3 linked regions of the Stegostoma tigrinum genome follow. The main gene of each other region encodes a partner of the protein of the gene in region 3 in a complex. Links are inferred from orthologs where the notes say so. Each region holds a gene or a part of one and is shown on either strand. Other genes may lie near its edges.

The links.
Region 1: the proteins of ints9 (region 3) and ints4 are in contact, whole or in part, in a cryo-EM structure (PDB 8RC4), measured with the Homo sapiens proteins. The link is inferred for Stegostoma tigrinum from reciprocal best matches to the Homo sapiens genes INTS9 and INTS4. Residues at the interface, in NP_060720.2 of Homo sapiens: Lys2, Tyr4, Lys18, Ser21, Thr22, Leu43, Val44, Gln45, Glu87, Glu89, Leu90, Asp92, Asp97, Thr122, Glu145, Arg146, Val147, Pro148, Lys159, Glu174, Ser176, Thr177, Ser192, Gln195, Phe206, Gly207, Ile379, His380, Ser384, Asn385; in NP_291025.3 of Homo sapiens: Leu53, Gln54, Leu57, Gln58, Arg61, Lys62, Pro86, Ser87, Leu90, Lys91, Ser94, Gln125, Gln129, Asp132, His164, Gln207, Asp208, Pro209, Arg210, Arg212, Asp244, Tyr245, Glu246, Gln247, Trp296, Phe837, Gly840, Leu841, Val842, Val843.
Region 2: ints9 (region 3) and ints12 share a complex: the UniProt entries of both Homo sapiens proteins name them as parts of the integrator complex. The link is inferred for Stegostoma tigrinum from reciprocal best matches to the Homo sapiens genes INTS9 and INTS12.

Annotation. Positions count from the first base shown.
Region 1 is NC_081359.1:108,915,971-108,926,170, forward strand, and holds the start of ints4 (integrator complex subunit 4), read right to left. Parts: upstream 4,419-10,200; 5' UTR 4,334-4,418; coding exon 4,280-4,333; intron 1-4,279. UniProt on the Homo sapiens protein: Component of the integrator complex, a multiprotein complex that terminates RNA polymerase II (Pol II) transcription in the promoter-proximal region of genes.
Region 2 is NC_081354.1:10,700,178-10,711,273, forward strand, and holds the start of ints12 (integrator complex subunit 12), read right to left. Parts: upstream 4,419-11,096; 5' UTR 4,278-4,418; coding exon 4,125-4,277; intron 1,484-4,124; coding exon 1,331-1,483; intron 976-1,330; coding exon 794-975; intron 1-793. Other genes in the region: gstcd (glutathione S-transferase C-terminal domain-containing protein), read left to right, coding at 8,608-9,021. UniProt on the Homo sapiens protein: Component of the integrator complex, a multiprotein complex that terminates RNA polymerase II (Pol II) transcription in the promoter-proximal region of genes.
Region 3 is NC_081362.1:89,094,046-89,105,273, forward strand, and holds the start of ints9 (integrator complex subunit 9), read right to left. Parts: upstream 5,045-11,228; 5' UTR 4,765-5,044; coding exon 4,756-4,764; intron 204-4,755; coding exon 76-203; intron 1-75. UniProt on the Homo sapiens protein: Component of the integrator complex, a multiprotein complex that terminates RNA polymerase II (Pol II) transcription in the promoter-proximal region of genes.

The DNA.
Region 1 (10,200 bases), on a different chromosome or scaffold from region 3:
GTGACCTACCTCCACTGCCCTGTGAGGCAGTGCATTCCAGACTATCATCTTCCTCTGAAAAACTTTTTCCTCAAATCCCCTCCAAACCTACTGCCTTTCACCTGAAAAGTGTGACCCTTTGTTATTGACAGTTCAACTAAGGGAACAGTTGCTCTTATTCTTCCGTTTATGCCCCTCATGATTGTACAGCTTATACAGAATCACACCACAAACAACATATTAACAGTATAAACTGGACTAAAGCATCAACCTGCTTTTATATTGCTGAGGAAAAGAAATATGCCATCAAAGCTTTTCATCTTGCACTCATCAGGACCAAGCACCATATCTCAATGGGAACAACAATTTATATTGGATGAGAAAAGGGTGCATATTGGTTGGCAAGTTAACCCTGACTAGTAGAGGGGCTGTTTGAAAAATGTACTAGGGAACAGTTAAATGCCATGAGATAATGGGAACTGCAGATGCTGGAGGATCCGAGATAACAAAGTGTGAAGCTGGATGAACACAGCAGGCCAGGCAGCATCTTAGGAGCACAAAAGCTGACGATTCTGGCCAAGACCCTTCATCAGAAAAGGGGAAAGGGGAGAGGGTTCTGAAATAAATAGGGATAGGGGGGAGGCGGGTCGAAGATGGGTAGAGGAGGAGAGGTGGAGAGGAGACAGACAAGTTAAAGGGGCGGAGATGGAGATTGTAGAGGTGAGTGTAGGTGGGGAGGTAGTGAGCAGATAGGTCAGTCCAGGGAGGACGGACAGGTCAAGGGGCGGGATGAGGTTAGCAGGTAGGGAATGGAGGTGCAGCTTGAGGTCGGAGAAGGGGATAGGTTGGAGGAAGAACAGGTTAGGGAGGCGGGGACAAGCTGGGCTGGTTTTGGGATGCAGTAGAGGGAGGGGAGATTTTGAAGTTTGTGAAGTCCAGCAAACAACTGCACCTCCCAGTCGCAAACCATTTCAACTCCTCCTCCCATTCCTTAGACGACATGACCATCCTGGGCCTCCTGCAGTGCCACAATGATGCCAACCAAAGGTTGCAGGAACAGCAACTCATATTCTACTTAGGAACCCTGCAGCCCAATGGTATCAATATGGATTTCACAAGCTTCAAAATGTCCCCTCCCTCTACTGCATCCCAAAACCAGCTCTGCTCGTCCCCGCCTCCCTAACCTGTTCTTCCACTCACCCATCCCATCCTCCCACCTCAAGCCGCACCTCCATTTCCTACCTACTAACCTCATCCCGCCCCCTTGACCTGTCCGTCCTCACCAGCCTGACCTATCCCCTCCCTACCTCCCCACCTACACTCACCTCTCCTGGCTCCATCCCTGTCCCTCTAACTTGTCTGTCTCCTCTCCACCTATCTTCTCCTCTATCCATCTTTGATCTGCCTCCCGCTCTCTTCCTATTTATTTCAGAACCCTCTCCCCATCCCCCTTTTCTGATGAAGGGTCTAGGCCCGAAACACCAGCTTTTGTGCTCCTAAGGTGCCGCTTGGCCTGCTGTGTTCATCCAGCTCCACACTTTGTTATCTATGTTAAATGCCATGCTTCTGTTCAAATTCACTGCTCTTGGTTAGGATGGTTCTTGAGATCATAATCTCTTGAATCAGATGATTGTGTCACCAACTGGGAGAACCTCCTTGGTCTAAGACAAATTGTGGCATGGGACTCTTTTCTTCAATCTGCAAAAGACAGATTCAGCTTCAGTTCAGTGTCTTGTTTGCGCTGTGGAATTTCTGACTATGCATCATCCCACTGGTACTGCAACAAATCAGCTGGATGACAAGGACAACACTCTCATTGGAGTTTCAATCCACAGTCTTGTAGCACAGACGGGCTTAGACCAAGACAAACAATACCATTTCAATTAACAGTAATAGCAGGCCACCTTTTATAGGATTTGTCACTGCACAGAATTTGTAGCATGTATTCTTGGGGAGCATTCATGGGTCTTGCTGGTCATGTACAACTATGAAACCATCTGGGGCACTACATTCAGCATGGAGCACTGATCCTCAACATGGGTATAATGGCCTTGGGGGGAATACAACACAGATTCTGCAGAATGACACTGGGAGAAATGGGGGATAATATTTTTCAGTTATTCATTGTATGCACTTTTTGCTAGCTGGCCAGAATTTATTATCCATCCCAAATTCTTATTGCAAGTGCTGCAGTATATGGCATATAGATACACCCACAGGGTTTTAACATGACAACGGTAAAGGCAAGGCATATATTTTCAAGTCAGGTTGGTGTGTAGCCTGGAGGGGAATTTGCAGTGGTGGTTTTCCCATGTATCCGTTACCCCTGACTTCCTAGGTGACAATGGTCAAAAATCTGGAGGATACTTTCTAAAGAGCCTTGGTAAGTTGCTGCAGAGCAGCTTATAGATACACATTATCCACTGTGACTGTGCCTTGGTGGTGGAGCGTGTGAAAATTGAAAGTGGAAGATGAGGTGTCAAATTAAACAGGTGGCTTTTTCTTGAATGGTATTGAATCATCTGGTGTTGTTGGTGCTGCACGTATCCACATAAGCAGGGAGTATTCCACCATACGCCTGACTTATGAACTGTAGAAAATGGGCAAGTTTCAGTTCCTGGTCAATAGTAGCTCCCAGGATGCTGATAGTGGGGTACTGAGTGATGGAGTGACATTGATGCTAAGGGCCAGATTCTTTTTGGTGATGATCATGGTCTTGCACCCATGTGACAAACTTTACTTGCCACTCACTAGTCCAAGACCTGCTGTTGTACAGGTTTTGCTGCAGGTGGATGTAGAATCATAGAATCCCTAAAACATGAAAGCAGGCCATTTGGCCGATCTGGTCTGCACCAACACTGCAAACAGCATCCCACCCAGAGCCCCCACTCCCCCCCCCCCCCCCACACACACCCCCTATCCTTGTAACCCTATATTTCCCATGGCAAATCCACTTAACCCAGACATCCCCAGGCACTATGGGCAATTTTAGCACGACCAGTCCACCTAACTTGCATTCAGAGATAATGGGAACTGCAGATGCTGGGGAATCTGAGATAACAAAGTGTGGAGCTGGATGAACACAGCAGGCCAAGCAGCATCTTATGAGCACAGAGACGCTGCTTGGCCTGCTGTGTTCATCCAGCTCCACACTTTGTTATCGCCTAACTTGCATATCTTTGCACTGTGGGAGAAAACCACAGCATCTGGTGGAAACCCTTGCAGACATGGGGAGAATGTTGCCAAAACATTGAATGTATTCAAGAGGTGACTAGATATGCCTGGCCCCAGTGGCCTAATGGAGAAGGCACTGCCCTCCCAAGGTAGGGATTGCGGGTTCAAGTCCTGTCTGGAGTGCACTGAATTCTGTCGTGAAGCCCTGCTTGTTTGCAGTCGGTTCCACGGTGTAATGGTTAGCAATCTGGACTTGGAATCCAGCTATCCAAGTTCGAATCTTAGTTGGACCTCCAATTGCTGTGTCCCAATGAGTTGCTTAAAAAGGGGCAGCACGATGGTTAGTGCTGGGTTTGATTCCAGCCTCTGGTGACTGTCTGTGTGGAGTTTGCACATTTTCCCTGTGTCCGCATGGGTTTCGTCCCACAGTCCAAAGATGTGCAGGTCAGGGTGGACTGGCCATGGGAAATTGCCCGTAATGTCCAGGGATGGGTCTGGGTGGGACGCTCTGAGGGCCGTTGCGGGCACCACATTATAGGAAAGACACAAATGCACTGGAGAGAGCACAGGAGCAATTTGCAGGAACAGTTCCTGGAATGAGACAATTCAGTTATGAGGATAAGTAGGAGAAGTTGGAACTGACCTCCTCGGAAAGAGGGCAGGGGATCTGATAAAGGTTTTCAAAATCATGAGTGGGCTTTAAAATGTAACGTACAAAATCTACAATTTTAAATTATATTCCAACCATTGATTCACTTTGGAGCAAATATCTACTTTTCCACGTTAAAGTACTTTCAAGGCTCTCAAATTTTGACAGCAGTAACTTTAAACCTCTTGCAAAACAGATGTTTTTAAATAATCAAACCTATCTAAACCTTCAAGATATTGTACAAAGTTAAAGCTGTATGGTTACGAAAGGTTGCCCTGGCACAGCTGCTGAACAAATATCCACGTTCCACATCAAAGTTATTTGTTTTAAAAGGGGCCTTGGGTTAGGCCTCAGGCCTAAGCAGGAGGCCGTTTTCCTGAGGGTCGGTGCGGGAGGGGGAAGGAGCTGAGCAGGAAGGAGAAGGGGCAACGGCAGGGCACAACCAGCTGCAGTCTCAGGAGAGGAAAGCCGCCTGACCTGAACCACTTTGGTGAACTCCTCATACACCCGCTTCTTGAGATGCGCCGCCATGGCGTAGCGAAGCAGAAGGCACAACAACGACAAACTCAAAACCGCGCGGCAATTGCCGAATTAACGGCTTCTAGGCTCTCAGAGGCTTCCGTAGGCATCCGTGGACCCGCCCCCCCCCCCCCCCGAAACCACCGGACGGTCCCCGCCTCTCGCCCTGGCCCCGCCCCCTCGCCCTGGCCCTTCCCCTCGCCCTGGCCCCGCCCCCTCGCCCTGGCCCTTCCTCCCCAGCGCACATTGGCAACGCCCCCTGGCCCTGGTCCCACCCTTTCTGACCCCACCCTCCACCTTTCCACATACTGTCACCCCTTCCCCTCATTCTCCGTCTTTGCTCCTCTCTCCCCTTCCACCTTCACCCCCTTTCCCCATCACTTCTCTCCCCATTCAACCCATTCTTACTCTGTCCCTCCCACCACTCCGCTCCCTTCTCCCACTTACCCTCATTCTCGGTCTCTGTCAACCCCTCCCTCTCCGTCCCCTCATTCTCCTTGCATCCCTGTTCCCTTTCTCCCCCTTGCCCTCTCTGCCCACTCCCCTGCGTCCTGTCCCCTCCCCACTTACCTCTGCTGACCCACGCCCCTCCTATCCCCTCTTCCGCTCCACGTCCCATCCTTTCGTTCCCCACCTCCTCCCATCCTTTTCATCTCCCACCATCTCCCATTCTCTCCCCACAATCCATTCTGCCATCTCTCTCTCTGCCATTTCTCCCTCCACTCCATCTTTCCCGCCCCCAATTTCCCATCTTTCCCATTCCCCCCCCCCTTCTGCCTCACCCCTCTCATAACAGATGGTGGACTTTGAGTTCAACAGACATCTGGAATTAAGACTTTAATGATGACCATCAATCCATTGTCAATAGTTGGAAGAACCCATATGGCCCATTAATGTCTTTTAGAGAAGGAAATTGCCATCCTTACTTGAAAACAACAAAATATTGGAGATCACAGTGCATCAGACAACATCCAAGGAGAGAGAGCAAGCTAATGTTTCGAATCAAGATGACTCTTCATCAGAGATCGAAACGCTAGCTTGCTGTCTCTCCATGGATTCTGTCTGATCTCCTGTGATCTCCAGCATTTGTTGTTTTCAGTACACATTCCAGCATCTGCAGTAATTTGCTCCGGTCATCCTTACTTGCTTTGCCTTTCCTGTGACTCCAGACTCACAATGCAGTTGAGAGATAATGGGAACTGCAGATGCTGGAGAATCCGAGAGTTTCCCGCACCTCATCCCTCACACCCCGTCCCCTCAATAACTGCCAAAAGAGAATCTCCCTTGTCCTCACATACCACCCCACCAACCTCCAGATACAACGCATCATCCTCCGGCACTTCTGCCATCTACAATCCGACCCCACCACCAAAGACATTTTTCCATCCCTACCCTTGCCTGCCTTCCGGAGAGACCACTCTCTCCGGGACTCCTTTGTCTACTCCACACTCCCCTCCAACCCCACCACACCCGGCACCTTCCCCTACAACCGCAGGAAGTGCTACACTTGCCCTTACACCTCCTCCCTCACCCCCATCCCCGGCCCCAAGGTGACTTTCCACATCAAGCAGATGTTCACCTGCACATCTGCCAATGTGGTATGCTGTATCCGCTCTACCCGTTGTGTATCCTCCTCTACATTGGGGAAACCAAGCGGAGTCTTGGGGACCGCTTTGTAGAACACCTCTGCTCGGTTTGCAACAAACAACTGCACCTCCCAGTCGCGAACCATTTCAATTCCCCCTCCCATTCCTTAGACGACATGTCCATTCTGGGCCTCCTGCTGTGCCACAATGATGCCACCCGAAGGTTGCAGGAACAGCAACTCATATTCCACTGGGGAACGCTGCAGCCCAATGGTATCAACGTGGACTTCACAAGTTTCAAAATCTCCCCTCCTCCTACTGCATCCCAAAACCAGCCCAGCTCGTCCCCTCCCCCATTGCATCCCAAAACCAGCCCAGCTCGTTCCTGCCTCCCTACCCTGTTCTTCCTCTCACCTATCCCCCCTTCCCACCTCAAGCCGCACCCCCTACTACCTACTAACCTCATCCCACCCCCTTGACCTGTCCGTCTTCCCCGGACTGACCTATCCCCTCCCCACCTACACTCACCTCTACTGGCTCCATCCCCACCTCTTTAACTTGTCTGTCCCCTCTCCACCTATCTTCTCCTCTATCCACCTTCGATCTGCCTCCCCCTCTCTCCCTATTTATTCCAGTTCCCTCCCCCCATCACCCTCTCTGATGAAGGGTCTAGGCCCGAAACGTCAGCTTTTGTGCTCCTGAGATGCTGCTGGGCCTGCTGTGTTCGTCCAGCTCCACACTTTGTTATCTCACAATGCAGTTGACTCTGAACTGCCCTCTGATTAATAGGGAGTGGGCAGTAAATGCTAGCCTTGCCAGCGGGGCGTTCATCCCATGATGAACAAAAAAAGACTGTAAGTTTCTGATTCCTGGAACCATTCTTGTAAATCTGCCTCCAATCTTTCCTATAAAGTGGTACTCACAACTATACACCATCCTTCAGCTGAGATGTAACAACAGATCCCTGTTATTTTCACAGGAGATCAAGTGGTACAAGTGCAAAGAAACATCTTTATTACATAGAACTGGAGTAAGAACAAAAGGACAAATGGCTGGATGTTCCGCTATAATCCATTTGCCATCCTGACCTGAGGTGAACAAGATCTTACTAAAGCAACGACCACTGCTGGAATTCTATGAACGATCTTGTGCCCTTATCCAAGGGAAGATTGTTTTTGGAGGCAGTGCAGAGAAGGTTCAGTAGGATGACACCAGGTATGGGAGGACTGTCTTATGATGAGAGGTTGAATAGATTGGGCCTGTACTCATTAGAGTTTAGAAGAATGAGAGGAAATCTAATTGAAATGCAAAAGATTCTGAGGGAACTGATCGGATCTATGCTGACAGATTATTTTAATTCATAGGATATGTTCGGAGCAGGGGCATAATTGCAGAAGAAGGGGTTTCACATTTGTTATAGAGATGAGGAAGAATTTGTTCTCTCAGTGGGTAGTGAATCTGTGGAATTCTTTAGGAACCTCGGAATTGGAGAAGGCCATTCAGCCCTTTGAACCTGATCTCTGTGATTCAAATAAATCATGGCTGCTCTGTGGAGTTAGGCCATATCTGGTCGGCATGAACGAGTTGGGCAGAAGAGCCTGTTTCTATGTTGTATATCTCTATGACTCTAAGTCCACTTTAACAGCATCCATCCACTTGCCTCTGGCCACCACCGTTGTCGCCTCTCCAAACATCCCTATGAGGTTTGTCAAGCATGACTGACCCTTCATTATAGACTTCAATAATTTCTCCACCACCAGTGTCAGCACAAAGGGCTCTCAAGGGCGTGTTGTTAAATGGATTCAAGATTGAAACAGGCAGATTTTTAACCAGTAAGGAAATCAAGGATTATGGGGGAAAGATAGAAAGTGGAATTGATCAGCAATAATCTTGTTGGATAAGGCTGAAGGTAATGAAAACTGACAGGAACTGAGAATAGAGATAATGGGAACTGCAGATGCTGGAGAATCCAAGACAATAAAATGTGAGGCTAGATGAACACAGCAGGCCAAGCAGCATCTCAGGAGCACAAAAGCTGACGTTTCGGGCCTAGACCCTTCATCAGAGAGGGGGTTGGGGTGAGGGTTCTGGAATAAATAGGGAGAGAGGGGGAGGCGGACCGAAGATGGAGAGAAAAGAAGATAGGTGGAGAGGAGAGTATAGGTGGGGAGGTAGGGAGGGGATAGGTCAGTCCGGGGAAGACGGACAGGTCAAGGAGGTGGGATGAGGTTAGTAGGTAGGAAATGGAGATGCAGCTTGAGGTGGGAGGAGGGGATAGGTGAGAGGAAGAACAGGTTAGGGAGGCAGAGACAGGCTGGACTGGTTTTGGGATGCAGTGGGGGGAGGGGAAGAACTGCGCTGGTGCATCTTCGGTCCGCCTCCCCCTCTCTCCCTATCCAGGTGCTGGTGTTGTGATGTGATAATGGGAACTGCAGATGCTGGAGAATCCAAGATAACAAAGTGTGAAGCTGGATGAACACAGCAGGCCAAGCAGCATCTCAGGAGCACAAAAGCTGACGTTTCGGGCCTAGGGCCTTCAAAGATCCTAGGCCCGAAACGTCAGCTTTTGTGCTCCTGAGATGCTGCTTGGCCTGCTGTGTTCATCCAGGAACTGAAAATAGACAGTTATGTGAATGGAATTACACTGGGTCATTCAGGTCCAAATAAGGCACACACTTGGCACAGAGACCTGTTTACAAAGAACCTGAAGAAATCCCTTTGTTCAACAACACTTCGAAGATCAATGTTGTGCAAGAAGGTACCTTACATCATGAGGCATGGTCGAGACATTGAATAGAGTTTCAGCCTGGCCAGCTGCAAACTCTCCTGGGTAATAATGTTTGGGTTTAGTTACAGAAATCAGGGTAACGAAAGATTGATAATGAAATGTGAGGCTGGATGAACACAGCAGGCCCAGCAGCATTTCAGGAGCACAAAAGCTGACGTTTCGGGCCTAGACCCTTCGTCAGAGAGAGGGATGGTTTCTCTCCATCTTCGGTCCGCCTCCCCCTCTCTCCCTATTTATTCCAGAACCCTCTCCACATCGCCCTTTTCTGATGAAGGGTCTAGGCCCGAAACGTCAGCTTTTGTGCTCCTGAGATGCTGCAGGGCCTGCTGTGTTTATCCAGCCTCACGTTTCATTATCTTGGATTCTCCAGCATCTGCAGTTCCCATTATCACTAACAAAAGATTGATCTATCTGGATGAGGGTGTCGCTGCACAGGGCAGCATTTATTGCCCATCCCTAATTGCCCAGAGGGCAGTTCAAAGTCAACCACATAGCTGTGGGTCTGGTGTCACATGAAGGCCAGACCAGGTAAGTATGGCAGTTTCCTTCCCTAAAGGACGTTAATGAACCAAGATAACAAAATGTGGAGCTGGATGAGCACAGCAGGCCACGCAGCATCTCAAGAGCACAAAAGCTGACATTTCGGGCCTAGACCCTTCAGATGGGTTTTTCCAACAATCAACAGTGGATTTGCAGTTATCATTAGATTCTTAATCCTAGATTTTCTTTTTATTGCGTTCAAATTCCACCACATCTGCCGTGGTGGAATTAGAAACCAGGTCCTGAAAACAGTACTCAAGCCTCTGGATTAACTGTCCAGCAATAATACCACCAGACCATCGCCTGCCCTTCTCTAGTTGTTAAGACTGTGTGTTAACCATTTAACTACTTAATAAATGAATTGTTTAATAAATGGTTTTAGAGAGCTCTAAGTGTCTCCTCTGTATCTTTGTCTACGTGTGTATTGTTGCCTCTCAGAGACGGGCAATAATCTCGTTGAAAGAAGGAACAAATATGCTGGGCTGAATGGCCCATTTGTGCTAATACATATTATGGTCCTGTATCACTGCTCCTTCACTGTTGATTGGTGCAGTGGTAATCACACTTATTTAGTAATCCTAAGGGGTCATGTGTTCCACTCCCATTAGCTGCTATGCATGATAATAAAACCTGGCATTAACATAATCCAGCAATGACTGTGGAACCCAGTCAAGCGCGGTAGAAATCTCGCCTAAGGAAATTTGCCATCTGTACTTAGTCCGGCCTACATATGACTCCAGATCTGGTAAAGATGGCAGATTATTTTAAGGACATTAGCGAACCGGAGGAATTTTTACCACACTTTCTGTCATATATTGTGTGTTATTCCGTGTATGTATTGTGAAACATTAGATCACTCACAACATTGAGCAATAATCATTTAATCTAGAACTATGAGTGCATTGCCCAGATTTAGCTCCACGTCATGTTAATGCATCTCACAAAATGCTGTCAAGCTGGTTTTG
Region 2 (11,096 bases), on a different chromosome or scaffold from region 3:
TAAGAATCCTGTGTGTTTCAATGAGATCACCTCTCATGCTTCTAAATTCCAGTGAGTAGAGTCCCACGCTGTATAACCTTTGCTCATAAAACAATCCTTCCACACGGGGATCATTCCAGTTAACCTTCTCAGAGCTGCCTCTCATGAAGTGAAATCTTAAGCAAGGAGACCAAAATTGCCCTTAGTACTCTAGACGTGGTCTCACCAGCTCTTTGTACAGGTGCAATTCGAGTTCCCTACTTTTGTACTCTAACCCCATTGAAGAGGGCTAGTGTTCCATTAGCCTTCCTGACTACTTGCTGCATCTGTTTGCTAGCTTTTTGTGTTTTGTGCAAAAGCATTTCATGCTGTAGAATTCTATGACTCTGTAAGAACTCCCAATTTCCATTGTGCTGCTGCTTTCTGCAGTTTTTGCCATTCAAATAATACTTTCTTTTGAAACACAGAAACCTACCTCTTGAATAAGTAAAATTACCTTTGGGTAATTCTACCTTTTCACCTGCAGTTTCATAACTAACAGATACATTGGAGGACTGCAGCATTATTTAATAGCAAATGGATGTATTTAAGATGACAGCTTTCATTAGAAACAGGGATGTTGGAATTTACGTTGAAAAGATTTATAGCAAGGACAGAAAGTATAGCTTTTAAATAAGGATGAATCACCTCCATCTGCACTAATCTGATTATCTCCCTTAGTTCCTAACTCTACCTAACCTGAACACATCATATGGTCTCAGCTCAGTGTGTCAAAGTTCAGGTCATCAACATGTAAAAAGACAATTTCTCATACCGACACACGACACACGCCAGTCCCATTTCCATGGCAAAGTCCTCTGCACTCTCAAAGCCAGGTAGGTCAGGCATTGGCAGCTCCTTGCTGGATTGAACAGTAATGGGAGAGGATCGATTCTCCGCTTTCTCCAATCTGGCTTTTTTCTGGGGGTCAACTCCCTCCAAAGGATCTAGTTTAACCTTTCAAAAATTTGAAAGATCCATGGGGTTAACTAATCAGTCAATCATTATGAATTAAATTATAAGATAAAGAACAGTGCCTCAAATTTTATATTCCTTGTTTTTGGGCTAAGTACAATGTACAGAATTTAAGATGAACCTGATCTTTTGCCCTTCAGTGAGCTGAAGACAACTTTCTTATGGATAAAATTTGAAATTTTGCATGTGAACAGCAAAATATCCGTTATGTTGTTCCAAATCATGATTATTTATAATTCACTGTCAACAGCATGAACTTTCTCTTGTACTATGAATGGTTTCTATATGGAAACATCTATTTGCAGTTGCAGAACAAATTTAGCCAGAAACTTCTAACCTTTTCACCAGGTCTCTTTTCAGCTTCCTTCTTGGTTTTCTCATTGGAGCTGGATTTACCATTGTTGCCCAGTGAGAGAGATGAAGACACTTTGGATTCCTGCTTTGTTGAACTGGATTTGATGCTGGCAGTCACCTTGGGTGTTTCAATGTCCTAGGCAAGGAGCATAAAACAATGGCTAACAATGGAGGAGTAATTAACACTGGGTGAATGGAGTTTAAGTAGAGATTAGCTGACATCTCATTAAATGCCAGCACATAGACAGGAAGATAATAAATATTTGATGGTCATTCAAAGATACAGGAGTAGTGAATGAGCTACACCCTCTGAAACAACTTACTCTGTGTGATCCTGAATATGAAGCCTTAAAGGCACAACAATGAAATTGCTGGTCTGCAAGTTCTTTATTAAGACAGCCTTACAACTTGGAGATAAGCTGCGTAAGGCAGCAGTTACAATAAGACAGGGAGAATTCAGGCTTTAATTTTTCCAGTCTGTCACAGCAGAGAAATGAAATTGATCAGACAGGGAAGCCACCGTAAATTGTTCCAAAGTTACAATAGATCATCCTTTCAAAAAAAATGTCAAGTCAGAATTTGCATTTATATAGCAAATTATACATCCTCAGGATGCCTCAAAGTGTAGTCATTGTTCATGTATAAACCAGTTCACAGAACACATGAACAATTTTACAGAATTTTGACCCAGACACTGAGTGGAATGGCCACAAAATTCCAAGTCAGGATGGTGTTGTGGCTTGGAGGGGAACTTGCCGTTCCACTCAATCCCTGGGTCAAAATTCTGTAACTACCTTTCCTGTAACAGTCCTGTGGGTGCACCACAGACCAAGAACTGTAGGAGTTCATAAAGACAGCTCACAATCGATTCCTCCAGTGCACTTAGAGTTGCTGGGCCAATCAGTTACATCCATATCCCATGAATAAAGAAAGATAAATGCCACAGCTAATTTGATAGCATAAATATAGCATTATCACATTGTTGAGTTCGTGAGAAAAAATGGCAGTTCATCTGTTTTTGGCAACGGTGATTGAAAAGGGATGTGGCAAGAATGCTGCTCCTCTTAAAAAGGTTTTCCACATTCATCTGGACAGGCAAACATGGACTCAGTTTAAATTCTCATCCAAAGATAAGATCCCACCAACAGTGTAGGAGTATGTCAGTAGTGAACTGCAGTGCCAGCTTGACCATGTTTTCAGGTCCTACAGTGGCAGTTGAATCTAGAACTGTTGCCCTCAGAACTAACAGAACTACCTTCCAAGATAAACTAATACGGATATATTTTAGAAAGAGTCACCAGCGAATCATCTTAGCTTATTTTAAAAATGTGCCAAAAATAGTCTGAAGGTTATCACTTAGTGTATTCTCTCATATTCACACTTTAGAGTTTGAAGCAACACCACAATGAGTGACTGGATGCAATTTTGCATTATAATATTTCCAAACAGAGCAGATTTCTGAACTCATCTCTGCTCTTGGGGCTGGGAAGAATTATACAGCACAACATGGAAGTAAACAAAGATCTGAAGACATCTCTTGGAAGTTCACCTTGCAACAGCATTGCCAGTGTTTGGGTGCATGCTAACTATCTATCCTCTTGGATAAATTGAATATGCAGGAGTATCAAAAACCAAAAATTGGAAATAAACATTTTATAGGCATCTACATTGAATCTCATGTCTATACAGTGACCTTCTGGAAGTCATCATACAAATCACATCAAAGTGAATGTGGTTTTTGATGATGCAATTAGGTTTTATCTTGGAGAGGCAGATAAAACTGTAAGGGTCATGTTTCAAAATATCTTTTGTGGCAATGTTTCACATATGATCATTATGTTGTATATATGCCGAGAAATATGATAACCAGTATTTTCAATGAATAAATCCTCATAAATTACATTCAATTCAGTATTTGGTTTCCAGTACCATCCCATTTGTCTCCAATAACAAAACCACTCTAAACTTCATTCAGCCAAGAACCTGCACTTAGTTTTCTACCATTGTTCTAGCTACTAGGTGATCTCTGTAATGATGTATTCTGCTTTGCTGCAAACTATAAGAGAATTGAGTAATTCATTTCTCTGCTCTACATTAGAGCAGATTAGATACTCAGTTAGGAAGGCACTACTTAGACCTTCACTTTCTCAATATTTTGTTAAAATACCAACTTTTTAATTTCTCTCCCTGTCATTCTTCCCCTCATGCTTAAACACCCTCTTCATTTTTTTTTGTATAACTTTGCAGATTATCTCTTATGCTTTTCTCACAAATTATGCATTCACATCCAAATACTTGATACAGTCACCAAGTAATTAACTGAACAGTGGAAGTGCTGAGATCACTTCATAAGGGGAGCATCCCTTAAACAAAACCCACTCTTGCACAGTTACAGCACCAAATGAAGCCCATTTGCTGGAGAGATCCAAAGCCTACTGCTCTGATGAAAGTTTACCGACTTGAAACATTAAATTTATTTTTCTCTCTTTGCAGCTGCTACCTGATGTGCTGAATATTCTCAGGAAAAGAAACATTTATTATTGCACTGTGCAACCCTCTCTTCACAGCACCGTACACAATTCCTTTCAAGAATGTAGCAACTTCTGTCTCATTCATTGCTTCAAACATTGTGTTCCAATAATAAAACCTACAAAAATAAGCTCCAGCTCCTCTCTGACTCTCTTCATGTCCATTTTAAATCAGCTATTTCCCTATGCCCAACTACCTCATTCAAATAAACCTTTAAAAGTATTACTTTAAATACGAGGAAACTGTACCTTTTGCGCCTGTCGAAAGCTGGAATCACCGCCTCTAGCCAAGGTCTCATCTAGCAGGGCTTTCAGTTTCTCTGCCGAGTCTTTGCTTTTTGAATGGAGATAACCCAAGGCTTTGAGGAAGAGTGGGTCCAGCTCTAGGTTGGGAACAGCCATGTCCTACAAACGTGAAAGAATATGTCGAATACATATATCAATTACAGATTAGTATCAGGGCTGCAACCTCAGGAAGCTTCTAATATCAGCATACTAGCAACTCAGCATCTGCCTAGCGATACTTCCGGTCCCACATTTATATTCGTCCCCGACTTTTAGTCCTAGCAACGGGTAACATCCGGTCCGTCTGTTTAAAGCACTCGCCCCCCTCCCCGGTACCCGGGCATTGATGAGCCAAGTGGGTTGCAGGTAATTGGGTTGCTGTGTTTATGTGGGGTGGAGGTGATGGAATACTGGTATTTATAAAAATCTCTTCAGTTGTGCTCATTTTTCAATTCCTTCCTGTGCTTTGTCTTCCCGACAAGATCCAGGTTTCCAGCTGCAGGACGCCGCCCCATTCGCTGCCCTTCAGTCAAAGCCTCCATCAGTTGCTGGGCTGAGAAAATATTCCATTAGGGAAAAAAATCTCAGCATCTGTGGAGAGAGAAACAGGGTTAACGACTCGGATCCGGTATGACCCCTCTTCAGAAGCCTTAACCACATGTTTCCCTCTCCAGGCCTGCTGAGTTTCCTCAGCATTCTCTGTGTTCGCTTCACTCCGCTGCATTTTGCTTTCATTCAGACGTTCCAGTTTATCGTCAGGCAGCCCGTGTAGGCAAACCTCTTACAACAAAGCAGGACTTGGAATTAGTGAAGTACGTAGAAACACAGAAGCTTAGAAAATAGGTGCAGGAGTACAGTAGGCCATTTGGCCCTTTCAGCCTGAACCACCATTCAATATGGTCGTGGCTGATCATGCAATCTCAGTATCCCATTCCTGCTTTCTCTCCGCACCCCTTGATCCCCTGAGCAGCAAGGGCCACGTCCAGCTCTCTCTCGAATATATCTAATGCACTGGTTTCAATGGCTTCCTGTGGGAAGGAATTCCACAGGTTTGCAACTGTCTGAGTGATGAAATTCTTCCTCATGGCAGTCCTAAATGGCTTACGCCTTATTCTAAGATTGTGACGCCTAGTTCTGGATTTCCCCAAGATTGGGAACATTCTTCCCATTCTTGCCTGTCCAGTTCCATCAGGATTTTATATGTTTCTATGAGATTCCTCCTCATTCTTCTAAATTCATAGAACATAACAGCACAGTACAGGCCCTTCGGCCTTCGATGTTGTGCCGACCTGTCATACCGATCTGAAGTCCATCTAACCTACACTATTCCATGTACGTCCATATGCTTGTTCAATGATGACTTAAATGTACTTAAAGTTGACGAATCTACTACCATTGCAGGCAAAGCATTCCATTCCCTTACTACTCTCTGAGTAAAGAAACTGCCTCTGACATCTGTCCTACATCTCTCATCCCTCAATTTAAAGCTATGCCCCCTTGTGCTCGCCGTCACCATCCTAGGAAAAAGGCTCTCCCTATCCATCCTATCTAACCCTCTGATTATTTTGTATGTCTCAATTAAGTCACCTCTCAACCTTCTTCTCTCTAATGAAAACAGCCTCAAGTCCCTCAGCCTTTCCTCATAAGACCTTCCCTCCATACCAAGCAACATAGAACATAGAACATAGAACAGTACAGCACAGAACAGGCCCTTCAGCCCACAATGTTGTGCCGACCATTGATCCTCATGTATGCACCCTCAAATTTCTGTGACCATATACCTTCCCTCCAAACCAGGCAACATCCGAGTAAATCTCCTCTGCACCCTTTCCAAAGCTTCCACATCCTTCTTATAATGCGGTGACCAGAACTGTACGCAATACTCCAAGTGCGGCCGCACCAGAGTTTTGTACAGCTGCAGCATAACCTTTTGGTTCCGGAACTCGATCCCTCTATTAATAAAAGCTAAAACACTGTGTGCCATCTTAACAGCCCTGTCAACCTGGGTGGCAACTTTCAAGGATCTGTGTACATGGACACCGAGATCTCTTTGCTCATCTACACTACCAAGAATCTTACCATTAGCCCAGTACTTTGCCTTCTGGTTACTCCTACCAAAGTGCATTATTTCACACTTGTCCACCAAGTACAAGCCCAGTCGGTCCAGTCTTTCCTCATATGTCGGTCCTGCCATCCCGGGAACCTTCACTAGACTCCCTCAGTAGCAAGAATGGCCATCTTCAGACGAGGAGACTAAAACTCAAGATGTGGCCTCACCAACGTCCTGTATAACTGCAGGAAGACATCCTTACTCTGATACTCAAATCCTTTTGTTAAGAAGCCCAGCATGCCATTAGCTTTCCTAACTGCCTGCTGCACCTGCATGCCAACCTTCAGTGACTATTCCACCATGACACTCAGGTCTTAATGCTCCTCACCTTTTCCTAAACTGCCACCATTCAGATAATAATCTACCTTCCTGCTTTTGTGACCAAAGTGGATAACCTCATATTTATCCACATTATATTGCATTTTCCAAGTATTTTGCAGCAACTCTGTTAGATTTTGTTTTCAATCTAAGGTAGCAGCATATCATTTCTTTCTTGAATCAGAAATTTAATGTTGCACAAAGCAGTTGGCCTGAAGTGTTTAACTCTGTAGCCTTACTATAGCTCTGCCCACCGGATGAGTTTAGTTCATCTGCCAGGTCGTGGTTCTAAGCTGTTGGTCTCACCCTTACAATTGACAACCATGTAACCTGGGTTGGCCTAATTATTCTTAGACAATACTCTTGTCTTCTATCTCTGTAGCTATGTAATAAACACTTCTTGTTACTCAGCACTGAGCCATTTCTGCCAAAACGTTTTATGATAATTCTTCACCACTTCTTATTAATAAAGTCCCCAGAATAGTATTCCTGAGGGATTAGTAGCAGGATATTTATTTGATTTGATTTATTATCATCATATATACCTAAGTACAATGAAAAGCTTTTGTTTGTGAGCACTATGGGCAGATCAGAGAGTGTTTAGACAGGGTGAGGCAAACAGGGTACGCTACAATCTACTGAAAGGAGAGCAGAGCAGAACCAGGAGCAGCTGCTGCATGCCCTACAACATACAGCACCCTTTCATGGCCTCAGGATAACCAAAGACCTTCATAGCCAATGAAGCCCATTTGAAGTTGAGACTCTGTTGTAGTTGAATTCAGTGGGAATTGATGACGGCAATTTCTACAAAGGAAGGTCCCACAAACAGCTGCAAGATAATGACCAGATTGTTTCTTATGCTAAGGGTTCAGGGTTGCCACCATCACTTGTTCTCCTTTGGTTTTGTCAATTCCTTAGAATCAGTTATATCTACCTTAGAGGCTATTCCAAACTCACCATCTCCTGTACTGAACTTTCAGCTTGGATAATGATAATATCTCAGTAGTATATCTCTAAAGTATGACTGGAACTCTCAAACTTTGAACTTGCATGTAAGAATGCTGATATTGAGCCAATGCTGCCATTGTGAGTAACCTTCAGTCTTGATAGGCTTCAAACAAGTTTTGCTTTAAAAATTTCTTATTATTGATCCTGATTTTTCCCTTGTGAAGGTGGTAGAATAGCTGCCTTGAACTTCTGGTATCAAGTACATTCACAATCATTTTAGGAAGGGAGTTCCAGAATTTTGACCAATGACAGTGAAGGAACAGTAATACAGTTCCAAGTCTGTATATGAGACATTAAGATGAGAATTTAGTGTTAGTTAAGTTGCAAATGCACTATGTAAGTGCAAGTTTAATTAATATTTAACCCACGAACCCTGTTTCAGGAGATTCAGTGTCAAGTTGAAGAATATCCGTGCTAACTGCCATGCAGGAGCCTTTTTTAAGTATATTCAGAATAATAATTATAATTATACGATCAGTTCATTGTCTAATTTGACTAACGGGTCTGTTTCAATGCTCTATGACTCTAATAGTGCCTTTGCTATGTTTCATGGGGGCCATGTGTCAATTCTTCCACAATGCCCTTATGGCTATCTGGCCTCTTCTTAAACAAAAAAGTGCTATATATTTTTTATGAACATTCACTCTATTTTAATATTTTGTGTATTTTGTTCAAAAGCATATGACAGTTATTTTTGATCTTCTGTATTTTCCTTTCATTTGCCTGGAATTCTAGTTTGATTTTAGCTCTTGTTAAGCTGGAAAGTAGTAAGCTATTTCAATTTCAATTATTTCAATTTCTTTCAACCCTTCCTGTTTGATTTCCCTGGAAGAACCAGCAGAAATATTAAATTATCGCTTTTCAGTTGCCGTAATTTTGATTCCTTTGATTGTGACAGAAAGAAATACTTAACAGCATACCTTTTATTAAAAAAAATGCAAATCAATTTGTAGCATCTATGACTGAATTCTTAATGAGCTGCTATTCACCTCTCTATAGGTAGTTGTGGACATGAAGAACAATTGCATGCATGAAGCATGTCTGTACCTGGAACTGTCCAACCACACAGAGGACACAGTCTTTCCTCTCCATACATCCATTGTTTTATTTTTAATGTCCTACTGTGAATCCACATCAATTAAAGTGTTCCTGGTGCCTAACGAAGACAGTGCTAGCAATCTCTTGTGGATGAAAGGAGCACCAACCAACATTCCTATCAATATCCTTTCCCAGCAGGAACTGCCTCCTGTGGTTAAGAGTTGTCGTCTGCCTGCTCTGGTGGAAAAGGATGGGAATTTTTGTCGAGCTGGTCTTGCTGTGGTACTGAGACATATTGTATGGAGAACCTGTGAAACAGACTGCAACAGGAAAGATGTTTCAGAACTGCTTGGCTTCAAAAAGACCTGTTTGAAGGCCTGTGCTGAGGTAAGTAGGAACAGGAACAGGCTATTCAGCTCCTCAAATATATTCCATCATTCAATTCGATCTGTACCTGAACTCACTCAACTTTGTTCCATATTTCTTATTAATTTTGCTTCACAAGATCTGTTGATTTCAGCCATGAATGTTCTTATTGTCTCAGCATTATAGCTTTTTGAAGGAGGAGGTTCCAGTGTTCTGGTTCCTTTGTTTAGGAGAAGAACGTATATGTTGACTTCACTCCTAAGCACCTAGCACTTACTTTACGATTGTGTTCACAATAGTTTATTTGTATTTACCCTAGCAAATCCTATCATCATTTTGATAACCTCTGCTCGCTTCTGTAATTTCTGTTCTGTCTGAACAAAGTCCTTCCGTGGGAATTTCTGATTTTTCTCATATGTAGATAGGCCAATAAGGGGCGAAGCCACATTAGATTTGGTGCTGGGTAATGAGCCCGGCCAGGTGTTAGATTTGAAGTAGGTGAGCACTTTGGTGATAGCGATCACAATTCTGTTATGTTTACTTTAGTGATGTAAAGGGATAGGTGTATACCACTGGGCAAGAGTTATAGCTGGGAGAAAGGCAATTACGATGAGATTAGGCAAGATTTAGGGAGCATAGAATGGGGAAGTAAACTGCAGGGGATGGGCACATTAGAAATGTGGAGCTTATTCAAGGAAAAGCTCCTGTGTGTCCTAGATAAATGTGTACCTGTCAGGCAGGGAGGAAGCTGTAGAGTGCGGGAGCCGTGGTTTACGAAGGAGGTGGAATCTTTGGTCAAGAGGAAGAAGAAGGCTTATGTTAGGATGAGATGTGAAGGCTCAGTTAGGGCACTTGAGGGCTATGAGGTAGCCAGGAAAGACCTAAAGAGAGAGCTCAGAAGAGCCAGGAGGAGACATGAGAAGTTGTTGGTGGATAGGATCAGGGTAAACCCTAAGGCTTTCTATAGGTATTTAAGGAATAAAAGAATGACGAAAGTAAGATTAGGCCCAATCAAGGATAGTAGTGGTAAATTGTGTGTGGAGTCAGATGAGATAGGGGAAGCACTAAATGAATTTTTTTCAACAGTATTCACTCTAGAAAGCGACAATGTTGTCGAGGAGAATACTGAGATACAGGCTAGTGGACTAGGTGGGATTGAGGCTCACATGGAAGAGGTATTAGAAATCCTTCAGAAGGTGAGGATAGATAAGTCCCCTGGGCCGGATGGGATTTATCTTCAGATCCTCTGGGAAGCCAGGGAGGAGATTGCCGTGCCTTTGGCATTGATCTTTAACTCGCCATTGTCTACAGGAATAGTGCCAGATGACTGGAGGATAGCAAATGTGGTTCCCCTGTTCAAGAAGGGGAGTAGAGACAACCCTGGTAATTATAGACCAGTGAGCCTTACCTCAGTTGTTGGTAAAGTGTTGGAAAAGGTTATAAGGGATAGGATTTATAATCATCTAGAAAAGAATAAATTGATTAGGGATAGTCAGCACAGTTTTGTGAAGGGAAGGTCGTGCCTCACAAACCTTATTGAGTTCTTTGAGAAGGTGACCAAACAGGTAGATGAGAGTAAACTGGTTGATGTGGTGTATATGGATTTCAGCAAGGCGTTCGATAAGGTTCCCCACAATAGGCTATTGTACAAAATGCGGAAGAATGGAATTGTGGGAGATATAGCAGTTTGGATCGGAAATTGGCTTGCTGAAAGATGACAGAGGGTGGTAGTTGATGGGAATTGTTCATCCTGGAGACCAGTTACTAGTGGTGTACCGCAAGTGTCGGTGTTGGGTCCACTGCTGTTTGTCATTTTTACAAATGACCTGGATGAGGGCGTAGAAGGATGTGTTAGTAAATTTGCAGACGACACTAAGGTCGGTGGAGTTGTGGATAGTGACGAAGGATGCTGTAGGTTGCAGAGAGACTAGATAAGCTGCAGAGCTGGGCTGAGATGTGGCAAATGGAGTTTAATGCAGACAAGTGTGAGGTGATGCACTTTGGTAGGAGTAACCAGAAGGCAAAGTACAGGGCTAATGGTAAGATTCTTAGCAGTGTAGATGAGCAGAGAGATCTTGGCGTCCATGTACACAGAT
Region 3 (11,228 bases):
TTAAGACGAAAGACATTAGGGACGTTTCTAAATGCCAGTTTAAATCACACAAGAAATTCAATCAGAGACACTTACCTGTGGACAAGCGGTAAAGGTAAGAAATGAAGGGCTGAGGTCATGTCTAACCCACAGTCGAGCATAATGGTGGTTGATTTGAACTTCAAGACATTGCATGGCAATGTCGGATGACCAGACAAGCAGTACTGAGGGAGAAAGTAAAACGATATGGATTTCATTGCTGATAGAGCATACAAACATGCATAAAGTGTTCCGCAACGTCCAATACCATTTGAGACTTTTCAGATTCTGAAGCCCTCCACGGCCGTATGTAGTAGACCTGGACAACATTCAGCATTGGGCGAACAGATAAGTGGCAATTAATTCCAGTGTCACACAAGTTTCAGACAATGACCACCCCCAACCAGAGAGAGTGTAACCATGTTTCCTCGACATCACCACGACTGAATCCCCCACTATCAACATCCAAAAAATAGCATGGCGTTTGTTTACCATTGGCCAGACACCGATTTGGAAGAACCATACCGTTATGATCGCAGTGAAAATGGACCGTCAGCATTCAACTTCCATAATTTGAATTTAATGCATGAAACTTTCATGAATTAAAAATGGTTTTAAAAAGGACACTGCTGACCTAAATTGGCTGCTGTGATCACCTGACAACCTCAAGGAATTTATGTGGAATACAAAAAACTGGCTGCATTGGAAATACCATTTTAATCAAAAGGCACTGAAATTCAATAAGATATCAAGAAATTTGTATCTCGTGTTTTACTCGCACTTGCACGATGATTATACCTACTCGGAGATGAAATGTTGCCCACAACTAGCCAATTTGGAATGAAACAATGACAAATACACCAAAATCTGTAAAGGAGTGGTATATCAACAGCAGCTTTTGAGCAAAGAGACAGAGAAAGAGCAATGTACACTAATAACGGCAAGTACACTGGAAGCTCTTCTCTCTCCTTCATTCAATCTCAGTCCCACAAACAGGCATTGATGAGAAAGAAACTCAGAAAATTGATGCACTGAGTATCCAAGCTCTGAAAAATGTGTCATTGATAAAGAAATAAGACAATGGTTAAACAGTTGGACTCTCACATTTTCATTCTCACAACCCACGGGACTCTTAAAAACTGTAACTGCATTTGCCTTTACTTTCCTGTCTGTACTACATACCTCTCTCTGCCCTCAACCTTTTTGCAAGCTCTGCATTTGTGTACCTTTATAATGTCATGCTTTCTTGTATTTTTATAATAAAACACTCTTTTGCACTCAGGAAAACCTTGGAATTTTCTCTTCTTCATTCTTAATCTAGTTAATTAAGTTTGATTGAAGTGTGGTTGTTATGTGCTTTAAAATAACAAAAATTGTTGCAACTGATCACTTGAATTAGATTAGATTAGATTCCCTACAGTGTGGAAGCAGGCCCTTCAGCCCAACAAGTCCACACCGCCCCTTGAAGCGTCCCACCCAGACCCATCCCCCTATAACCCACACACCCCTGAACACTACGGGCAATTTAGCATGGCCAATCCACCTAACCTGCACATCTTTGGATTGTGGGAGGAAACCGGAGCACCCGGAGGAAACCCACGCAGACAGTCACCCAAGGTGGGAATCGAACCCAGGTCCTTGGGGCTGAGAGGCTGCAGTGCTAACCTCTGAGCCACCATGCCGCCCTAAAATAGAAAATAAAGAGTGGAGTTATGACCTCTCCTCACCTAGTTATAACAATATTAATACTGTGGCTACAATGGCACATCAGAATCTGGGAATTCAGTGTTAAAGAACTCACTCCCTGACTTCCCAAAGGGTGTCTAACTACTTGGCTCAAATCAGGAATGTAATGGAATACATTATTCTTGCCCAGAAGGTGGTTTCAACAATGCCATCCAAAACAAAGTAGCCCACTCAACTGGCATCCCATCTGCCATCTTCAACATTTATTGCTGTTTCTCTTAGGCAATTCCTCAGTATCCAAAGATAGTAAGAACTGCAGGTGCTGGAGTCAGAGACAACAAAGTGTGGAGCTGAAGGAACAGGTAAGTTCAGAAAATCCCTGAAGAAGGGTCCCGACCCAAAATGTCAACTTTCCTGCTCCTCTGATGCAGCCTGGCCTGCTGTGTTCCTCCAGCTCCACACTGTTATCCCTCAGTATCCAAGGTGATTTCCTTCTATTCTGGTTCAATTGGTTTTAGGTTGGCTGATAAACCCAATGCATGATCTGCAGTCCTGATGGTTTGGCCAAATGACACATTTGGGAATTTATGTACCGTCTCCACCTGACAAAGTTTCTCGATGTGTTTTGTGCCTTTCTACTAAAAACCTTCTCCATTTTGGTGTGTTACCAGCCAGGCTCCCATTAGTCAGCAGGGATCTTTTCAGTACTGTTTTGAAGACACCCATAACCCTTAAAAAAAAAAATCACTAGCTCTACCATCAACATACAGTGGCAACTGTGCATAGCATCAACAAGATGCACTGTCACAACTTGACAAGGCTCCTGCAACAGAACCTTCTAAACCTGCAATCACTCCCAATGGACAAGGGAAGCAGACACATGGGAGTATGACCGGCTTGCAAGTTCCCCTCCAAGCCACACACATATTTGATTTGGAACCGTACTATCATTCTTTCACACTCACTGAGTCAAAATCAGGGAACTCCTTTCTTAACAGCGCTGTGGGTGTGCCTACACCAGATTGACTGCAGTAGTTCAGGAAGGTGACTCACCACCAGAGTCAGAAGGGCAATTAGAAGATGAGCAACAAAGGCTGCCCTTCTCATGGACACTCACATTCAAAGAAAGAATTAACAAAGCAGAAAGAAAATATTTGGCTCCTTTTAAAATGACAATACTGCCCACTATCCCTACGTGAATTAAGTCAAAACCAAACAAACTGCGGATGGTGGAAATCAGGAAAAAAAAACAAAGTCGCTGGAAAAGCCCAGCAGGTCTGGCAGCATCTATGAAGGAAAAAAAGAGAGTTAAGATTTCGGTTCCGGGTTCTGAGGAAAGGTCACCGGACCCGAAACATTAGCTCTGTTTTTCCCTTCACAGATGCTGCCAAACCTGCTGGGCTTTTCCAGCAAATTTGTTTTTGTTCCATGTATAAAGTCTCCTGTTTAACAGCAACTTGCATGTCACACAGATTTTATGAAAGAGTTTCCAGCAGGCAGGAGGTCTCATCCCAACAGCTGCCTCATTAAAAGGCTTAAATTTCCAAGTTATTAAAGCTTCTTTTTTTCAGTTGCCATGCAGGTCAGTTGCTGCAGTGACTGACAGCCACCACCACACAATCTATGCTTTATGTAAACAATTTTAGAGGGGTGGGTTGCAAAAATGAATGCCAAGTTAAAGCAGAAAATATTAGAAGGGCTTGGTGTGCTGGATCGTGTCCTAGGCAGCAAAATACATAACCACAGTGTGGGGCAAGGGTGCCCTGGTCAACCTTTAACCCTTGGCCAACATCACTACAACTGTGTCCAATTTTGGGCCCCACACCTCAGGAAGGTCATACTAGCGCTGGAGGGTGTCCAGCGGAGATTCACATGGATGATCCCTGGAATGGTAGCTTTAACGTATGATGAACGGCTAAGGATCCTGGGATTGTTCTCATTAGAGTTTAGAAGGTTGACCGGAGATCTAACAGAAACTTACAAGATAATGTATGGTTTAGAAGGGTTGGACACTAGGAAGCTGTTTCCGTTAGGCAGGGAGACTAGGACCTGTGGGCACAGCCTTAAAATTAGAGGGGGTAAATTTAAAACTGAAATGAGATGACATTTCTTCAGCCAGAGAGCGGTGGGCTTATGGAATTCATTTTCGCAGAGTGCAGTGGAGGCCGGGACGTTGGATGCCTTCAAGGCAGAGATTGACAAATTCTTGATCTCAGAAGGAATTAAGGGCTACGGGGAGAGTGTAGAGAAGTGGTGTTGAAATGCCCATCAGCCATGATATAAATAGCGGAGTGGCCTTGATGGGCCGAATGGTCTTACTTCCACTCCTGTGTCTTATGGTCTGATGGTATGGTCTAACTCCAATGATTGCACTGAATTCTGGAACAGTATCATCCTATGTTCTTATCTGATCATTAGCACAATCCTGATGGTGGGATTTTGATGTCTATAAATTAGCCACTGCCTCTCTTACAATACAACCAGTGACTGCACTTCAAAACTCTTGCATTGGGTGCAAAGCATTATGAGAGGTTCTGATGTTGTGAAGGGTGCTACATAAATCCACATCTTTCTTAACAGCACAGTCGAAATACAAGCTAATAAGAAATAGCTGGATACAAAGTTTGTGTGGGGCGGATGGTGAGAGGGAAGACATTTTATGGACCATGGATAGTTTCAGAGGTACATTTCTCATCCCTTTTGGTGAGAATAGATAAAAATACTCAGGGAGGGAGAAAGGGCGAAGCAATTAAACGTAACCCTCCAAGCAGACAGTCCAGAGCATCCAAGTGCTCCCAGGAACCAGAGCAGACGGTCTCCAACGCCAGCAGATTATTCCAGACATTGACTGAAGCACAGAAACGTAAATAATGTAAGTGGAACACAGACATGAAACTGCTTATATCATTTACATTGAAATGAAATGAAGCTGCAGACCCTTTTGATTTCTCTTGGTCTGATTTGACTCAACCTGCGTTCGCCATGAATACACAATAAGCACACCTCCTACTGTATGTGAGATGGGTTGAAATACATAAAAAAAATCCTCACCAGCTTCATCGTCCCTTTCAAGCAGCACAAACCGTTTCCATGGACAACCTACCCTCCCCAACCCCTCACACTCTTTCACCTTCTCTCCTCACGCGCCAGAAGATGAAATGTCAGAGTTCGAGGAGAGGAAGGCGCAACCGTCGACGTCGTCGTCGTCGTCGTATGTGGGGAACGCGCGTGCGCGACCCATGAGCCCCGATCGCAGGGAAGGCTGGGAACTGTAGTCCGAGCGCCGACCACGCCTCTCGCGTTACGGGGCCGGAAAGCTGAAGTTTCGGGTCGAGATCCTCATACAGAAAGGTTATTCTGAAGAAGTGTCGCGACCCGAAACGTCAGCCTTCCGGCTCCTCTGATGCTGCCTGGCCTGCTGTGTTCATCCAGCTCTACAACCTGTTATCTCAGATTCTCCAGCACCGGCAGGTCCTACTATCCCGTTTTGATGGGGGTTTAGTGTAGGGAGACTACATGTCCCGGCGTTCTGCGCGAGCGCACCTGCGCACCCCTGAGCAAGAGGCGGAGGGCGGGGATGAGGGAGGGACGGACGGACGGAGAGCTGGCCGCCCCCCGCCTCTTGTCGCTGTGGGAGCTTGATGTTGTTAATCATGGCGGGTCTGAGGCAGACAAAGGCGTTGAGACCTACTCCTAAAGTGCAGATTTAAGAAAGTTTCTCGCGTGGTGTTTTTCTCTTTTTTTGAAAGAAGGAAAATTTAAAAATATAAATGAAACAGCTAGCTCCTTACTGGGTAAGAGAATGCACCCTGATTATGTTTAAATGGATGAGATTATTTCCAAGAATCGCAGAGGAAGCTGATAAGGTGGTAAGTGTTTTATTTATGCTTGACGGAGGCTGTTTATTTTTAATTTGTGGGTAGTAATTGGTAAGTCTGAGCTGTTTGTGTCAGGCTAATGTACATAATGTTTTGTTTCATCTAAATACTATTTAGTGTGTATGTGCTCATTGTGCAGAGAATCAACTCAGCTAGTTATCAGAACTGTCAAATTTCAAGGAAAATGCTGAGATTTATAAGAAGAAAGGCAACACGTAGTTACCACAATCAAATGTGGTTTTGTTTTCCAGAGTGCACTGCACCAAAATACTGAATGTCGTTGAAAATAATGTTCCTTAAATTGTGAGATATGATATTTGGCATTAGGTCTCAATGGTGTTTTGAATTTAGGAAGGATTCTCCTTCGGAGGTTACGCAGGCAAGTTTCGAATGGGTTATTTTGTTCTACACAGTCTCACTGTTGTGACTACTTACGGGCAAGTTTCCATATGGAGGCAAAACACATGGAGCTGTGTGACTGAGTCATTCCAGTCTTCTGTGCTGGAAGGATGCTATCAATTCATGTTATTGTGTTTAGGGCCAGGTAAACACTTTAGCGATCACAGGTGGCCTAATATTCTTTAACTGTGACTTGAGTTTCTGCATTGTATGTTTTGAATTGGAGTTTTACTGTCTTATTTGTGCTACAGTATGAGCCATTGCTCCTGGATATCTTGTTAGATGAAGGCTATGCTTGTTATTGTTGTTTCATGTAAATTTAAAGCTGAGTATGGGGATATTTGTTAAAGCACAGATTTTAATGGATTAGGTTTCCAATAAATGGTATATTGTAACACAACTAGATATTTTCAAATGTGCTGGAAAACACACTGGGATTACATTTTATGCGTGTTCTGTCATTTTTTAACGTATATCAGGGACTTGTGCAAAGACAATAGCTGAATACAGTGGAGTTCTTAAATCGTGAGGCAGCTGTACAAACTTGACTGTGAATGGAGTAGCAGTGGTAGTCACATGTGGCCTTGTTAGAATGTCTGAAAGTACTTGAGTGAATGAGTGACAGATTTGGATCTGCCTCACTTAAAAGTGAACTTTTCAGCAGGCTGCATTAGTTTTTTTTTGTTTTGACTCAGCATGGTTCCTCTTATGATACACTACAACTCTGAGTTCACAGCTCAGGCATGGAATTTTGTGGATAGAAAAGCATTGGGGGGAAGAAAACTCTTGTACTGGTACAGAATTGCCTGATGCTGATTTAAGCAGAAGTATCTTGTCTCAATGCAAAACATGTAAAAAGCATTTGAGATTATTTTTCTCTTGTTGGCAGCAATCAGAACATAAATACAGCTAGTGATGAGCAAAGACCATTGAATTCATTTTTGAACTCACCCAACAGATGGCTAACTGCATCTTCAACTCCACAATATCTTCAGCTCCAATCTTGTGGGCTTGATAAATTTGGGGATTTATTACCATTTTTGTGTGGAGAATCTTTGGCTAAGGCCTTTGTTATTTGGCTGAGACTTTATACTGGGGTCCATCTGCCTCTTGTGCTATTTTGAAGGACAGTAAAATTATCTCCAGTGTCATGGCCAATGTTGTATCACTCACCATTACAAAAACCCAAAATCTATCTTTCTTTGTGGGTGAGCTTGCTGTGTACAAATTGGCTGTAGACCATACATTTGCAATGTCTTAGAGTCATGCAGCATACAGATGGGCCCTTGACTCACCATGTCTACACCAGACTATACTGATCCCATTTCCCATGCTTAGTCAATAGCCCGTTATGCCCTGGCATTTTAAGTGCTCATTCTGAGGTGCTGAAAACATTTGGTTGACATTAAATTCCTTTTGCTGTTTACTTGCCCAAATATGAACTTTTTGCAAACCCTAATTGCAGTTCTCAATAAGCATTTTTTTTAGGGAATCTAGCAAGCTGATAACTTCTACCTTTATCCCCACAGTGTAGTGTTTGTACAAAGATTCCTGTAACCAATTTTTACTTCCTTCACATAGCATTATGCCTCTTACAAATGCACAGTTTCCTTTTTTTGTCCAGTTTCTTATCCAGACCCACAATGTTCTCAGGATTTCCATGTATTGTAGTTCAACTAGTATCCTTTCAGTTGGGAATCTGTATGCTATTCTTTGGCAAAATGCAAAACTTGCATCACACAGTATCTCATTATTAAGATTTTTCTAAAATGCTTCACATAATATGCTTTTGAAATGTAATGACTGTTGTTTTAACTGCAAGCACAGTGGCTAGTTTATGCATAGCAAGACCACAAAGAGTTAGTGAGACTAATAATGTACTTGTATTGTTCATGGAGAGAGAAATTTTGGTTAGCTAGCTGGAGAATTCCTGATCTTTTAATCATAACATGGGGCCTTCTAGATTCCTGAGAGCTGTGTTGAGGTGGCAGAAATGATCAAAGATGGAAAGAAGGAAATCTTTCTTCAGATACAGCTGTAACCACTTTCAGTTTATCAATCCTTTATGTTTTTTATTGCTGTTGGCGGAATCCTGTGTTTAGCCTTTTTTATGAAGTTGTATGAACCAAATGTTAATTTATAATACAGTTGAGTGGATGTGTCTAGATATCTATCTATATCTTGAAATTTGCAAAGCGACAGACAGATTGTACCAGCAACAATATTGCATTTGCAACAAACAAGTTATTTTGATAATGACATCCAGCCTACAGTAATACCAAAGAAGTCTCTCAAATCCTCTGTATGTGATCAGTAAACCTTCTGTAAGGCCTGTCACCATGCACAGAGGGTTCTGAAAGAACATTTTGGAATTTACAATATTTCCTGCAGAAAAGAGATTCAAGCCAGCTGCAACTGATCTATCAAGCCATCTCTGCCATGAGTTTGTGTGTGCAAAGTGACTTTAGCTACAGATCAATGTTTGGGATGATCTGTGAATTACCCATTTCTCCTGAGTTTATGTCACTTGGCTAAAATACTTAAGATAAACTGTTGCAGAGTTTTGTTTTTCATCAAATCTGAAGGTTGTGTGTGAGACTTAGTTTTCAAGAAATGTAGTATATATATTTTCGTAAAGTGTTTAAGAATTAACTGGGTTAGTATTTCAGAACCATGATTGTAAACAGCGTCCGGAGTATTAATGGGAAATTTATTTACATGGTCAAGAATTATGACAGGGGAAAAAAAAATTGGAAGACATTGTCCTAAACACACAAGTAAATTAATCAAGGAATGACTTTACCCCAGCAAAATCCAAAGAATGGAAAGCTTTTGGGCAGTCCTAGGAAACTTGATGCAAGTCAGATGCAAGTATAGTTTTTCCTGGATCCCCTTGTTCAGATCAGTGAGGGAATAAGTTAGCTCAGGGAAAGAGTTTATTTTGTGAAAAATCCAGACCCACAGTATTTAGTTGGAACCCTGCAGGCTATTTAAAGAAAGCTTAAGCTCTTTAATTGTGTGAATATTCAAGAAAAATGCTTTACAGATCACAAGACTGGAACTGAGAAGAAGTTAAGTCAAACTTACAGGTTTTATGGGATGAGAAAATCTTTTGGTGTTTTGATTAACTGTATAGTGGTAGTGTTGGGGAATAGATGGGATTTTGTTTTGCCCTGTATTTTGAAGTATTTCAAACTGTTGTGTTAGCTTGGTTAGATCTATTCTAATTTGATTACAACTGTGTAATAAACTTGTTATATTGGTGAATCAAAATCTATAGCCTTCTGTGTTTGTTTCAGTGAAAGACTGCCATTTTAAAGTTGAAAAAAAATTATCTTTAAAGCCACATTTAGTTCTGTGATCTGACTTGCCCAATAGTAACATCAGCTGAGACTATCACACTAACATTTTTTTTCCGCTTTACACCCATACTGGATGTGAGTTTGCTCCCTGAGCTAGAAGGTTCGTTTTCAGACGTTTTGTCACCACTGTAGGTAACATCATCAGTGTCCCACTTTCTATTTATCTGTTTAGGTTTCCTTGGGTTGGTGATGTCATTTCCTGTTCTTTTTGCATCACCAACAAATGACATCACCAACCCAAGGAAACCTAAACAAATAAATAGAAAGTGGGACATAACACCAGCGCTTCACCGGAGGCTCACTGATGATTTAACCTACAGTGGTGACAAAACGTCTGAAAACGAACCTTCCAGCTCAGCAAGCAAACTCACATCCAGAACCTCAACCTGAGCTACAAATCTTCTCAAAACTCGCTTACACCCATACTCTTTTTCATTGCTAAGTAGTTGGAATTTGAGGTAATCTGATCTTAATTTGAAATTGTAAATTGGGACTTTTTATTTAAATCTGAATTTGTGGGAAAAATTACAACTAATAGAATCGGAATAGGATCCTGTTTACATTCAAATATCTGCACATCTTGGCTACACCAGTGTCAATACTGCACATGAGCCTCTTTCCATTCAACTTGTTCACACACTGTTAATTTCCTTGCTTGCATTTAAGGTATGAAAGTACTTCCTTAAAAAATGTTGAATAATGTGAATAAGGTTCATTATTATCCAGAGGTTGGAGTTTTCGACACCAGAAGGTTTAGTGGTGACCTGTTTTCTCTTTCAAAACAAAACACTAGTTGTCAGGTGTATTTGCCAGTTGACTTCCAGCATTCTGTCCAGTGGCTATCTTTCAGCTGTGAGCTTGGAAAATGAGTGCCTGAACATCATTTGCCTGTAGGGGCATCACCGCTGAGCCCATCCTGTTATCAGTGAGTTTTTAGCAGCTGTTTGGTAGCAATAAACAACTTGTCAAATATCATTTTGTCAGTTTATTTTTAATTGTGAACCTTTACCTAAAATGTCTCACCTGTTTGTAGATATAACCATCACAGCGCAAAAGAACCACAAGTTTTATGTAAAGTGATTTAAAACACTGTTAGCACAGTTGGATGCCTCGTAATTAAACTTATTCCTTTTGACACTCTTTCGTGGAGTTTTTGTTGGGTATGTGATGCTCATCTCTCAGCACCTACACACTGAAGAATCAACTGCTGGACCCGTCCTGTCCCAGTGACATTACTACTCATCTTTACTCTGTCCATCATAACTATACCAATAGAAAGTAAAGTTCAGAGGAGAAATATTTGAAGGTGAAGAGGGGATGCTACGTTAGTCATTTAATTTTCAAATGAAATCAGTATGCACATTGAAATCAATTAATTACCCACTTTTACTAAAGCTAGAAATGCTGGTCAGAGAAGTGGTTAACAGGGACTAGAGGCTTTGAATTATAGGGAGAGGCTGTTTAGATTGAGCTTTTTCCCTGGAGCATTGGAGGCTGAGAGGTGACCTAATAGAGGTTTATAAAATCATGAGGGGCATGGATAGGGTGAATAGCTGAGGCCTTTTTCCCAGGGTAAGGGAGTCCAAAACTAGAGGGCATAGATTTAAAAAGGACCTGGAGAGTAACTTTTTCATGCAGAGGGTGGTGTGTGCATGGAACAAGTTGCCAGGAAATGGTGGGAGCTGGTACAATTTCAAATTTAAAAGATACTTGGATGGCTACATGAATAGGAAGAGTTGAGAGGGATATTGGTCAAATGTTGGCAAATGGGACTAGGTCAGTTTGGGATATGTGGTCAGTATGGAAAAGTTGGACCGGAGAGTCTGTTTCTAAGCTCTGTGACTGTATTTCAGATCACTGACCTTGTGATAGAGCTCTGATTTTT